Drosophila melanogaster: one gene and its partners. The protein of the gene in region 1 interacts with the protein of each later gene in a pairwise test. Each region holds a gene or a part of one and is shown on either strand. Other genes may lie near its edges. The genes, in order: Lip3, pie and CG11286.

What was found.
Region 2: the proteins of Lip3 (region 1) and pie interact in a two-hybrid assay, tested with the Drosophila melanogaster proteins (one large-scale study listed by BioGRID).
Region 3: the proteins of Lip3 (region 1) and CG11286 interact in a two-hybrid assay, tested with the Drosophila melanogaster proteins (one large-scale study listed by BioGRID).

Annotation. Positions count from the first base shown.
Region 1 is NT_033777.3:13,369,907-13,373,663, reverse strand, and holds Lip3 (lipase 3), read left to right. Parts: upstream 1-1,759; 5' UTR 1,760-1,917; coding exon 1,918-2,001; intron 2,002-2,155; coding exon 2,156-2,875; intron 2,876-2,952; coding exon 2,953-3,333; 3' UTR 3,334-3,387; downstream 3,388-3,757. Other genes in the region: CG34309 (uncharacterized protein), read right to left, coding at 586-796, 906-1,000; CheA87a (chemosensory protein A 87a), read right to left, coding at 3,388-3,708.
Region 2 is NT_033779.5:10,421,158-10,424,914, reverse strand, and holds the start of pie (pineapple eye), read left to right. Parts: upstream 1-2,134; 5' UTR 2,135-2,271; coding exon 2,272-2,385; intron 2,386-2,452; coding exon 2,453-3,757. Other genes in the region: Wdfy2 (WD repeat and FYVE domain containing 2), read right to left, coding at 1-181, 245-371, 432-544, 817-1,164, 1,235-1,395. UniProt on the Drosophila melanogaster protein: Required for survival of imaginal disk cells possibly by regulation of cell apoptosis. Required for germline stem cell self-renewal through mediation of BMP signaling.
Region 3 is NT_033777.3:7,770,247-7,773,800, reverse strand, and holds CG11286 (uncharacterized protein), read left to right. Parts: upstream 1-2,044; 5' UTR 2,045-2,100; coding exon 2,101-2,408; coding exon of another isoform or gene 2,409-2,409; exon of another isoform or gene 2,410-2,467; coding exon 2,468-2,590; intron 2,591-2,649; coding exon 2,650-2,794; 3' UTR 2,795-2,941; downstream 2,942-3,554.

The DNA of each region.
Region 1 (3,757 bases):
TCAAGTGATATTTTGTGGTCAGGTGGAGTCGGCGGCAGATGCAGGTATCACCAAACCAAATCAAAAAAACTAAAGACACAACTGATGAGAGAGACTTGCGCCCCTTTGAGCTTTTAAAATTAATATAGACTATCTATATGTATATGTCCATATGTCCATATGTCGATATGCATACGAATTGGCGCACTTGCTTATATTTGATATGAGTTTGTTAGTTAGATACATTCCGAGGTTGAGATGTCGAGGTCGCTGGCAAAATCGATGGGCCACCAGAAACGACCGATTTGAAGCAGGAAAGGGCTCTGAGTCCGCCTATATCAGTAGCTAATATGGATATAACTTGTAACCGCTCCACAGACGAGCGACTTTCGTGAATAGTTATTATTCTATTTGTTGTCCCCCTCCCTGAATAATTGAGCGTTACAGGCATTATTGATGGATTGGTTAAACGATTGATTGTGTTGCGAGTTACATATACGATATGCAAGTAAGAACTAGAACCTGTATCAACAAATTATCGATTATACACTCAATATACATAAATATATATATATATATATAAAACATGCGAATCAATTTATTTAACTATTGCTCCTTTTTTGGCTCTGAAGTCTCTGGCTTGTCGAGCAACTGGTTGATTCGTTCTTCAGTCAGCGGCTCCTTACTGTTGAACAGTTTCTCGATCTCGTCCCTCTCTTCCTCGCTAATATCCTTGGCATAGATTTTGGCCAGATCCTCCAGGCGCTGCTGGTTCTTCTTCAGATGTCCAGGTAGCCAGAAAATGGTCTGCACCATTCTATAAGAAATAATTGGTACTATAAGGTGCCAGGTATTATGATCACATTACAAATTTGTACATTGCGCATTAAGTATTGAGTATTGAATAGTTTAGTAAATGTCCTTACTTAAGAAGTACAAATCCGCAAATGGCCAGTAAAAGACACAATCCCGATGTCTTAAACATGGTCCAATAGTCCACCGTAACTTGTTGGTGTTTCATTTTGGAAATCCTTTGAAAATGAGCTCCACTCTAGACTGAATTATGGCTTGAACTGTCATAAGTGCGATATGGTAATATGCCTTCGGGCCAAGAATGCCAATGTTATGGTCACGTCGTCAGGGGCAGCCGGCTCGGGAGATACGTGTATTATACACCATCGGCAGACCAATCATGTGTGGCCTCTATAAATCGATATCACACAAGCCCTGATTTTGATGACCAGGCTACAAAGTCGGGCTAAAGTGCTAACTGGGCCGCATAAGGATTAATGTGCGCACATGTTGCTGCTGCATAAGTGCTGCATGTTGCCGACGACACTAGCAACATGTTGCTGGCGTGATTCAGGCATTTTATTGTTTTCATTTGCAATCGGATTTTCTATATTTAACAATTATCTTCAACGAATTACGTATTTGCAAATAATAATAAAAATTATATGCCTTATTAAAAAGATCGAGCTGCAGAATACCCTCTTCTCAATTTTTAATGTGCCCGAATTTAAGGGTAGCCTATTGTTATTAATGTTTTAGTATAATTTTTTTTTTTTATAAATTTCCATTGGTGATATAATAAAAGGTCTCTTAAAAGGCAAATGTCTTGAAATAAATGGAAATTTTATATGCTTGACTTTTTAAAGTAAGGGGTACCAAAATAATTGAAAATCGATAAGAAAATCCGTCGTTTTGGCGGGGTGTTTGGGTTTCTTTAGATTGTAAATTTGAGACCCGCGATTTCAATCTAAACAAGAAGCTGATTAGGCCAGGTGTATCTAACTCTCATATATATTTAACTGATTTCTTGGGGGTCTTCGTACGCGTTTGCCAATAAATCTGATTGTTTGTGACTATCAATGGATAGATAGTGGTCAAGGGGCTATAAAAGCTGTGATCCCGAACCACACGGATCATAGTACTGCGATGACAAGAGGAGCGTTAAAAGTGACCATTTTACTGGTCGGATTGGGCCTGGTTTTGGCCGGATCTCGGCCTATTTCTGATTGCGTAAGTAAAAATTTAAGAGTTTGAAAACAATTTAATATTACATATTTGTTATTTATTATTTGGTTTTTCTTTTGACAGAGTGAAACCATTTAATTGCTTTTTATTTACAAATTAAAATTAATTAAAAATAAGCATACATTTAATTGTTTTGTAGGGTGAGCGCATTGAAGACGATGGCTACCCGATGGAGCGCCACGAGGTGGTCACCAGTGACAACTACATCCTGACTATGCACCGCATCCCGTATTCCCCCAAAACGGGTGAATCTTCCAACCGACCGGTGGCCTTCCTCATGCACGGCATGCTGAGTTCTTCCTCCGATTGGGTGCTCATGGGTCCAGAGCGATCCCTGGCCTATATGCTGGCCGATGCCGGCTACGATGTGTGGATGGGCAATGCCCGAGGCAACACCTACTCCAAGGCGCACAAGTACTGGCCCACTTACTGGCAGATCTTCTGGAACTTCAGCTGGAACGAGATCGGCATGTACGACGTTCCGGCGATGATTGATTATGTCTTGGCAAAGACTGGACAGCAGCAGGTGCAATATGTGGGCCACTCCCAGGGTACCACTGTCTATCTGGTGATGGTGTCGGAGAGACCCGAGTACAATGACAAGATCAAGTCCGCCCATCTTCTGGGACCAGCCGCCTATATGGGCAACATGAAGAGCCCCTTGACCCGCGCCTTTGCACCCATTTTGGGCCAGCCCAATGCCATCGTGGAGGTCTGCGGATCCATGGAGTTCATGCCCAGCAATAAGTTCAAGCAGGATTTGGGCATAGAGATGTGCCAGGCCACTTCTCCTTATGCCGACATGTGCGCCAACGAGATCTTCCTGATTGGAGGCTATGATACCGAACAGCTGGACTACGTAAGTATCTGGAAATGAACTTGGTCCTATAAATTATATTTCCATGTAACTTATAATGCTGCTCTCCATTTGGTCAGGAACTCCTTGAGCACATCAAGGCCACGTCTCCGGCTGGCGCATCGGTGAACCAGAACTTGCACTTTTGTCAGGAATATAACTCTGGAAAGTTCCGTAAATTCGACTACACCGCTCTCCGTAATCCCTATGAGTACGGCAGCTACTTCCCTCCGGATTACAAGCTAAAGAATGCCAAGGCCCCGGTTCTATTGTACTACGGAGCCAATGACTGGATGTGCGATGTGAGCGATGTCCGCAAGTTGAGAGACGAACTGCCCAACATGGCGCTGGACTACCTGGTGCCGTTCGAGAAGTGGGCCCATCTGGATTTCATTTGGGGCACTGAGGCCAGAAAATACGTCTACGACGAGGTCTTGAAGCAGATGCAATCCTACGAATAGATTTATTTTTCAGGCAATAAACGGAGCATTTGAGCTAGCAAATTTCGAGATTGATTAGTTCTCCTCCAACTCCAAATCCAGAACGTACGATAATATTTTAGTCTCTTCATTCTTGAGGGTATACTTTATGCGATAGAAGCCCGGACTCATCAGCTTTTTGAGCAACTTGACATTGAAGGGATAGTCCTCTAGTACATAGCGTTCCTTGGGCAGAGGACAGCTGCTGGGATGCGGGGCATTCGAGTATTCCTTGATCCGTTCGTAAAAGATATCCTTGTAGTAGCTCTTCATAAAGTCGCAAAGCTGCATTTCGAATGTCAAAACCTTCTCGTAGTCTCCATCGCTATCCGGGGATCTTGAAACCTTAAGCACAACCTGTTGAAGGAATAATAAATAATTAATTCCTCCACTATATATTATAAAC
Region 2 (3,757 bases), on another chromosome or scaffold:
CATCATTGAGCGGAAGTTCCAGAAGAAGGGCCTGGAGCAAAGCTGACAGTTGTTGGTATCCACCCAGCCAGGAACCTCTTTCCGCATTGCATTCATTTCCCAAAAAACCACTACTGAATCTTCGCCACAGCTTATCAGTTGTTGCGTGTGATTCGCGTACGACAGGGCGGAAACTTTGTTGCTACATAATCAGAAGTGCCGATTACTATCTTATTTTATGAATATTATTTAAGATTGGAGATACCTATGTCCCTGCAGCTCGTAAATGGTGCCACGTTTGCCACCAACATCCCAAACTAGCACGGACTGATCGCAAGCTCCGCTAAACAAGAGCTGAGGGCCTTCCACCCATTTGAGGCACCGGATTTCCGCTAAAAATTAACCAATTCGTATATAATTAGCTTACTAAATATCATTTGTAACTTGTTTACCCGAATGTCCATTGAAAGTGGTAATTAGTTGCACTCCCTGAACATCGCACCTTAGCATTGTTATCTGTCCAGCATGATCGCCCACAAAGGCATACTTGGCCAAAGCGTCGAACCTAAACGCAGATTATAATTAATTATATGTTGCTTATAGAATATTTCGCACAGTGCACACATTTATGCCAAAATTTTGTGTAGATAAAATGACTCAGTTGACACGTCATTAACAATAGAAGGTTCTCAAATTCTAAATGAATTCCATAGCCGTGAAGAATTGCAGTTTATTGCCGTGTCAAAGAAAGCAGTTTAATCCAATTAAATGACCCGCTTATCCCATATCCACTGTCGCACCCCCTTCCCCCTTTCACCATCCATTTATCATACTTACTGGAGAGCCGTGCATGGTGTCTCAAAGTTGTATCCGCCCACCCGTTTGCCGCTCTCCGTGCAATGATAGGCGAACTGCTTATCTTTGCCGGCGGAGAGTATCCACTTGTGGGTTTTCGAGAAGACCACGGCCATGACCCGCGCTTGATGGGACAAGTAATCCCGCAGGAAGGACAGGCGATTGCAGTCTTCGGATAGCGCGTACTGGGTGACCGTTCCGTTTTCCTGGCCGACGTACAGGTGCCGGGATTCCGAAACGTACTCGATGGCCGTGCAGCCGGAAGGCATATACTGGCAAATGCTAGGCCAATATTGACCAGAATCGCGTTTTAGCCAAACGCGAACGGTTCTATTGGGGAAAACATGAAAATGTCAGGCATACCATTTGTGTATATTTTTAATGGGCTACAGCTACGCACTTGTCATCGGAAACGCTAATTACGCCGTTTTCGCCCGGAATTAGGATCGCTGCGTTCACATCGTCGCTGCTGCCCTCCAGCTTACTCAGCAATTCCGGCTTTTTGGAGGTGTTAAAGCGATCATTGTTGGTCCGCTGAGCTGGTTTTATCTCGGCAGCCATATTATTTAAGGTGGATCCAGTCCGATGGTACGCCTACGCCCTATTTAACGCACTCGATGATAATGCGGTTATAAACAATCCGATTCTCGGACTGGGGAAGGTGAATGGAGATACGTGATTCACAATCAATTAACAAAACTGTGTTATTTTGTTTAACATTAAATATACTGAACTTTGTTGTTGGAAAGCTCGTCTAGATAGCGACGCCAAGTTTAGGAATGCTGCGGAATAGTGGAATCGATGAAATGAAAATAGAATCTTAATTGTTAGATATAGTTTTTGCGTATTATTGTATATTATTTTGCTATTAAAAATACTGAAGGTATTTCGTGTGATGTGTCGCAGCATTATGTATGCATATGCACGCACCACATTTTATAAACATACAAACGAGCATTTGAATCTTGAATCTCAGAAATCGCTTTATAAATGTATAGTCTTATGATTTTCATAATGGCATATCATATCTAATAAAACCTACGGACCACGCACAGTTATGTTTCCGGTTATCATGCTATTTAATTATTAATCACAAAATATTTGTTTATATTGTGTTAAGTTTTTAATACGTTAAAATTTATTATTACACATAAATAAATAATTTTATTATAAGTAGGGTTAACGCAAAATATAGCTAGTTAAGCAGATTAGATCATTGTGAGTGTTGCTCAGTGGAAACAGAGCTTTTCCAAAAATGTGCTTGGTGGAATTGAAGTATAATAAGGCGCTGTTGTATTTATTGTTTTTCAAAATCCTTGCCCGCCAATAGAGTAAAAAAGGAATGCAAAACATGTTGATAGTTTTAAAAATTATTCATAATAGCACTCAAACGAGTTGATCTGTCCAGCAAAACTAGTCTGAGCGGCCAGCTTACAAATGGAAGATAACAAGGAGCTGCAATGCTTAATATGCAAATATTCGGACACTGACGACCTGGTCTTTGGCGAATGGATGATTGTACGCAATTTGCAGGTGCACTATTTTTGCCTGGTAAGTGCGATTGTTGTGAAATGAAGAGAACTCCCGCTAATGTAAACTTCCTGATCCAATCCACCAGCTACTCTCAACGCATTTGCCGCAGCGCGGCGGAGATAGCAGTGGAATCCTGGGATTTCTGCTTCGCGATATCCGCGAGGAGGCAGCCGCCGCGGAGAAGAGGAAATGTTGGTACTGCAATAAGATTGGGGCCAGTTTGCAATGCGATCGTTGCCGGTCATTGTTTCACCTGAAGTGCGGCCTGGAGAATCGCGCCGTTTTCGAGTTCTGCGGCCAATACAAAAGCTACTGCTACAAATGCAGGCCGATGGATGACTACAAGCGACAGCTGCAGTCGAATCCGCCGAGGAACGCCACTTGCCCCATCTGCTTCAGTTCCATCTATAAGGTAGAGCTGCATTGCGTTGTGTACGGTGACTGCTGCCGCCTCGGATTCGCCCATAAGAAATGCATGCGTCAGTACGCTCTGACCTCCGGATATTACTTGCGTTGCATTTGGTGTCGTTCGGAACGTTTCAGGGATTCCATACGCCTGCAGTCGGTATTCGTGCCCGATCGCGATGCCACGTGGGAGAAGCAACGGAACGCCTATAGGGAGCTCCACGAGCGCAATCTGAAATGCGACCAGCCCAACTGCCTGTGCCCCAGTGGTAGAACTTATAATAGATTATCGTGGGTGATACTATGCTGCAGTTCTTGTGCCGCCACTTCGGCTCATCTTAAATGCTTGGTGGGCGCCCTGCGACTGCCGAAGAAGCGCGAGCGTACAGATTTCAAGTGCTCTATGTGCCTGGACGTGGAGAGGAGGATTGCTGAAGGACCGGCTCGCACAACAGAAGAAACCAATGCTGACGGCGACAACCAGGTGGATGGCTCTTTTTATGTGCAAAAATTGGGACCCGATGCTGCAACTCGATCCTTAACCCAGACTCCTGTTTTCTCCGAAGAAGACGAAAGCGAACGAAGTAGTAATATCACGGTTATATTCAGCCAACCGAAATCTAACGCAACAAGCGAGAGGTTATCCTTATCGCCGCCACAGGAGGAGATGATAGTGGAAATTCCTGATTCGCCAGAGGCGTCGCCAAAGACGTCCATCGATGAGAACCACTCGCCGCAGCCAATAGCAAGAAGGGACACATCCGACTCACCACAGCCAATAGCAGCAAGTGAGATCCCCGACTCACCGCAGCCAACAGCAGCAAGTGAGATCCCCGACTTACCGCAGACAACAGCAATAAACGTAAACCCTGAATTAACGCAGCAAACAGCATTAAACACGATTCCACACTCACCGCAGCCAGAAGCCAGCTTCTCAACGCAGCTAGTATCACAAACTTTCGATTGTCCACAGCCGCAGGAACAA
Region 3 (3,554 bases), 5.6 Mb from region 1:
CTAACAATGAAGGAAGCAGCAAAGTCTCTAAAGTCTCAGTTGAGTTGCTCAAACATCTGTGCAAAAATGTGTGTGGGCTTGACAGAGATTATGTCTGGATTGCTGAATTTTGGGGACACTGGAGCGAGGGCTTGAAATGAAAATGAATTTGTGACAATATGAAATACTTGTGCATAAGTGAAATTGTTTCATTCTGCCGGGGCGAAGTCCGCCGGCAACCCAGTAAAATAATTGCCCAATAAACAAATGTTTTTGAAAATATGGTCCGAGTGCTCAGCAAACTTATTTCCGTAATGGACTCGGCATCAGGCCCAAAATCAATTTTCATGTCTGGTTCAATGTCATTTCGAAGTGGCGTACAATTACACCCGTAATCCCCTAGCATATGGCAGTAAATCTTGTTGTTTACACTCTCGTTGACCATCGACCATTGTCAATGTTTATTGTTTATTGTTTAACGCTTTTTCTGAATGACGTTTATATTTATATTTATATTAATATTATCAATGGCGGTGAACACATTCTATTAAATGAAATCCGCTATCTTTAAATGCAGTTTGTGGGAATTAGTAGCAGATTGTGTTAGTTTGTGTGCCCAGATTTGACCAACCACTCTGTTATTTGGCCATTTCCCCATTGGCAGATTGAGTTTGCATTTAATACCTTATACGTGATCCATCTGGTAATTAATGTCCCTCGTAGGCCGGTCGGTGAAATAAATTGGATTTGTTGTTAACATTTTAGTCACTGTTTTGTCATTACGCGCTGTGGGAAAGCTGCTGTCAATTTTGTGGCGACCAAAATGACGGTTGGCCAAAAGGCCAAGGGAAAACATCCACAAATTGATGAGATGAGCACTTTAAAGGGAAGTCGACCTGTCTCGGCATTAATAATCCCAGTGCGTGATCAAACTTCAGTCAGCCAATTGCTGGCTACTTATGCCCATAAATAGTTCATTGCATTTCCATTAGGCACTTTGCGGCAATCCGGACGACTGTTCGTTGACCTAATGCGAGCAATTCATTATCTGCAATTAGAGTTCAATTCACAGGCTCTGCCTGGCCAAAGTTCAAGGATCGGCTAGGCCGGCCTCTTGAGGCCATAACACATCATTAATGGTCTCTGCGGCCGGTTGCCAAAGAAAAGTGTAACAATAATGGGCTCGTTTGTTTTCATTGCACACGTGCCGGAGCCCCGACTTTGGTCAAATGTGCTCTTAATAGACCCAGCGTTTTGGGCCATGTTTTTGCTGTGCAAACATTGGCCAACTCTCCTGTCGGCGGCAGCTCCTATTCCCCCTTCAGTGGGCCACTCTTGTGGTCCGGCTGATGGCTCTGTTCCGTCAACTCGGGCGGTTCAAAAAATGAAATTAAATGCGCGAATGCATGTTTAATGGCGCGAAAATGTGTGGAATCTTTTTGAGAATAATTTTCGACCACACCTGGATAATGGGTGCAAATGTGGGTAGATTAGCAGTCGCACTACTCCTCATAGATTATTAGGAGGGACCATTATTAAGGGTACAAATAAGTCAATGAAAGTTCGAACAGGGCCCTGTTAGTTTTTCATTTTTTTAGGGACATCATAATTACAAAGGCTATCCAATCGCATTGAGAACTTTCGAGTTCGCAACTCTATTTCGGGCTCACTTGCAAAGTTTTTTTTACAATGGATATCCTTTAGCATAATTGCATGCATATTGCCTGCAATAATTGCATGTGATATTATTACAGAGATTCCTTTTTTGGTTTTTATTCCACGCCACTTTGAACCAGCCTGATTGTTGAATTAAAAAATTAATGAATGATTTTTGAAATGCCAATGTGAATGGCCGTGTAAATAAAATACAGCAGCCTGACCCCTTTCCATATATCGTCTGATGAATCCTCATGATGTTCTCGGCTGTTTCCATGTATATTTATAAACACCAGCGGCTTAAAACAATAATTCCCCAAGGACTCAGATGTTGTTGACGGTGACAACTATGTGGCGTATTTATTAAAGCGTTAATTGTCGAATCAAAGTAGTCACCGCATAAATAAGCCATTTAATATATCTCAAAAATCTCCAGTTTCCCAAGAGCAGTATCAAATTTTCAACATGTCCGCGACGAGCCTTGTAACCATTAAGTCGATCCCCTCAGCGGGAGATGTCCTGCGGGGTAAAAATGTACCAGTTCACCGCCTCAACGCGAAGTTTGTGGCCAAGGCCCAGGAGAAGGCTAAGAAAGTGGAGGAATTCCTGACTAGGACGAAGACCACTTCGTTGGTTTCCTTGTCAGGACTTGCTTCCCGATATGAGTTCCATCGTCTCCAGGAGCTCGACGAGTGGTATGAGCCAAGGATCAAGTTCCACGACGAGGCCGATGCCAGTTTGCATCCCAGCTACGATATAAAGCACTTTCAGTAGTCAGTTAAGAAAGAACTTGCTGAGTTACTTAGGTTTCCTGACACACCATTATTTCCAGCGATCTTAATTGCTATGTGCGGTATCTGGACTCCAAAGCGAAATATGATAGGCAGTTCCTTCACGAAATGGAGCACATTATTGCCAATCAACGCAATATCTGCGACCAGTTTTTCCTGAAGAAGTAAGCTAAAAGTTAGAAATGATAACATAAATTAACCGGGACTTTCGTGGCTTTTCTAGAATCCTGTGCTATAAAACAATGTGGCCCCCACTGCATACAAAGAGGGAACTGAATAACTTTGTCTCAAAATTCTTTCAACTGCCTCCTAAGGAAAAACGTCGCGTCGAGTATCTGTTGAAAACGGATTTAAGTCTGGGTTGCTAAAACTGATCCAATTGCAAAGTAAATGAGCCTTTTTATTCCACTTGGAAATGGTTTAATTAGCTCATTTAATTTTGCAATTATTCTCTGCAAAACTGATAAAATTACCTTATGGAAAATTGTACAGCCAATAAATTTAATTATGCAATTAAAGCCTTTTTTATAATTTCGCTGCAAAGTTAGTGAGCTAACAAATTGGATGGCTGGCGTAAGAACTGTAAGAAAATGTATTTTATGATTACTTGTTAAATTTTAATAGGATCTCGTTTACAAAAAGGTTAGTCAATCGGACAGCAACTAAATAGTTTTGAATAAAATCCGCATTTGTTTAATTATTCCACTAAATTACATTTAAACAAACTGCCGTTTGTGCATATTAAATATTTGAGCTGCGCTCATAAATAAATTCAAACAATGAATTATTATATTGTTAAACTGTGTAACTATGTGAGCAGATTCATGTTTAAAAGCAATGCAATTGTTTCGACCTCTTTTTACAAGTTACCGATAAGGGATAAATGTGTGCGTGTGTGATTGTATGCGTTTGTGATTGTGTGCGTTGACAGGAAGTGCGTCATTTGTCAAATGCTATTTTATGACCATTTTTTAGCCGTTCAGTCGAGTTTTGTTTGCACCGTGTATACACCTGAAAAAGAGCAAATTTACAAATGTTTACGCAGTGAACAATGACCAGAAACGCCATGTGAATTTGCTCTTTAATTCAGTTATGCCCTTGGCTGAGTTTCTTCTTTAAAATTAATCA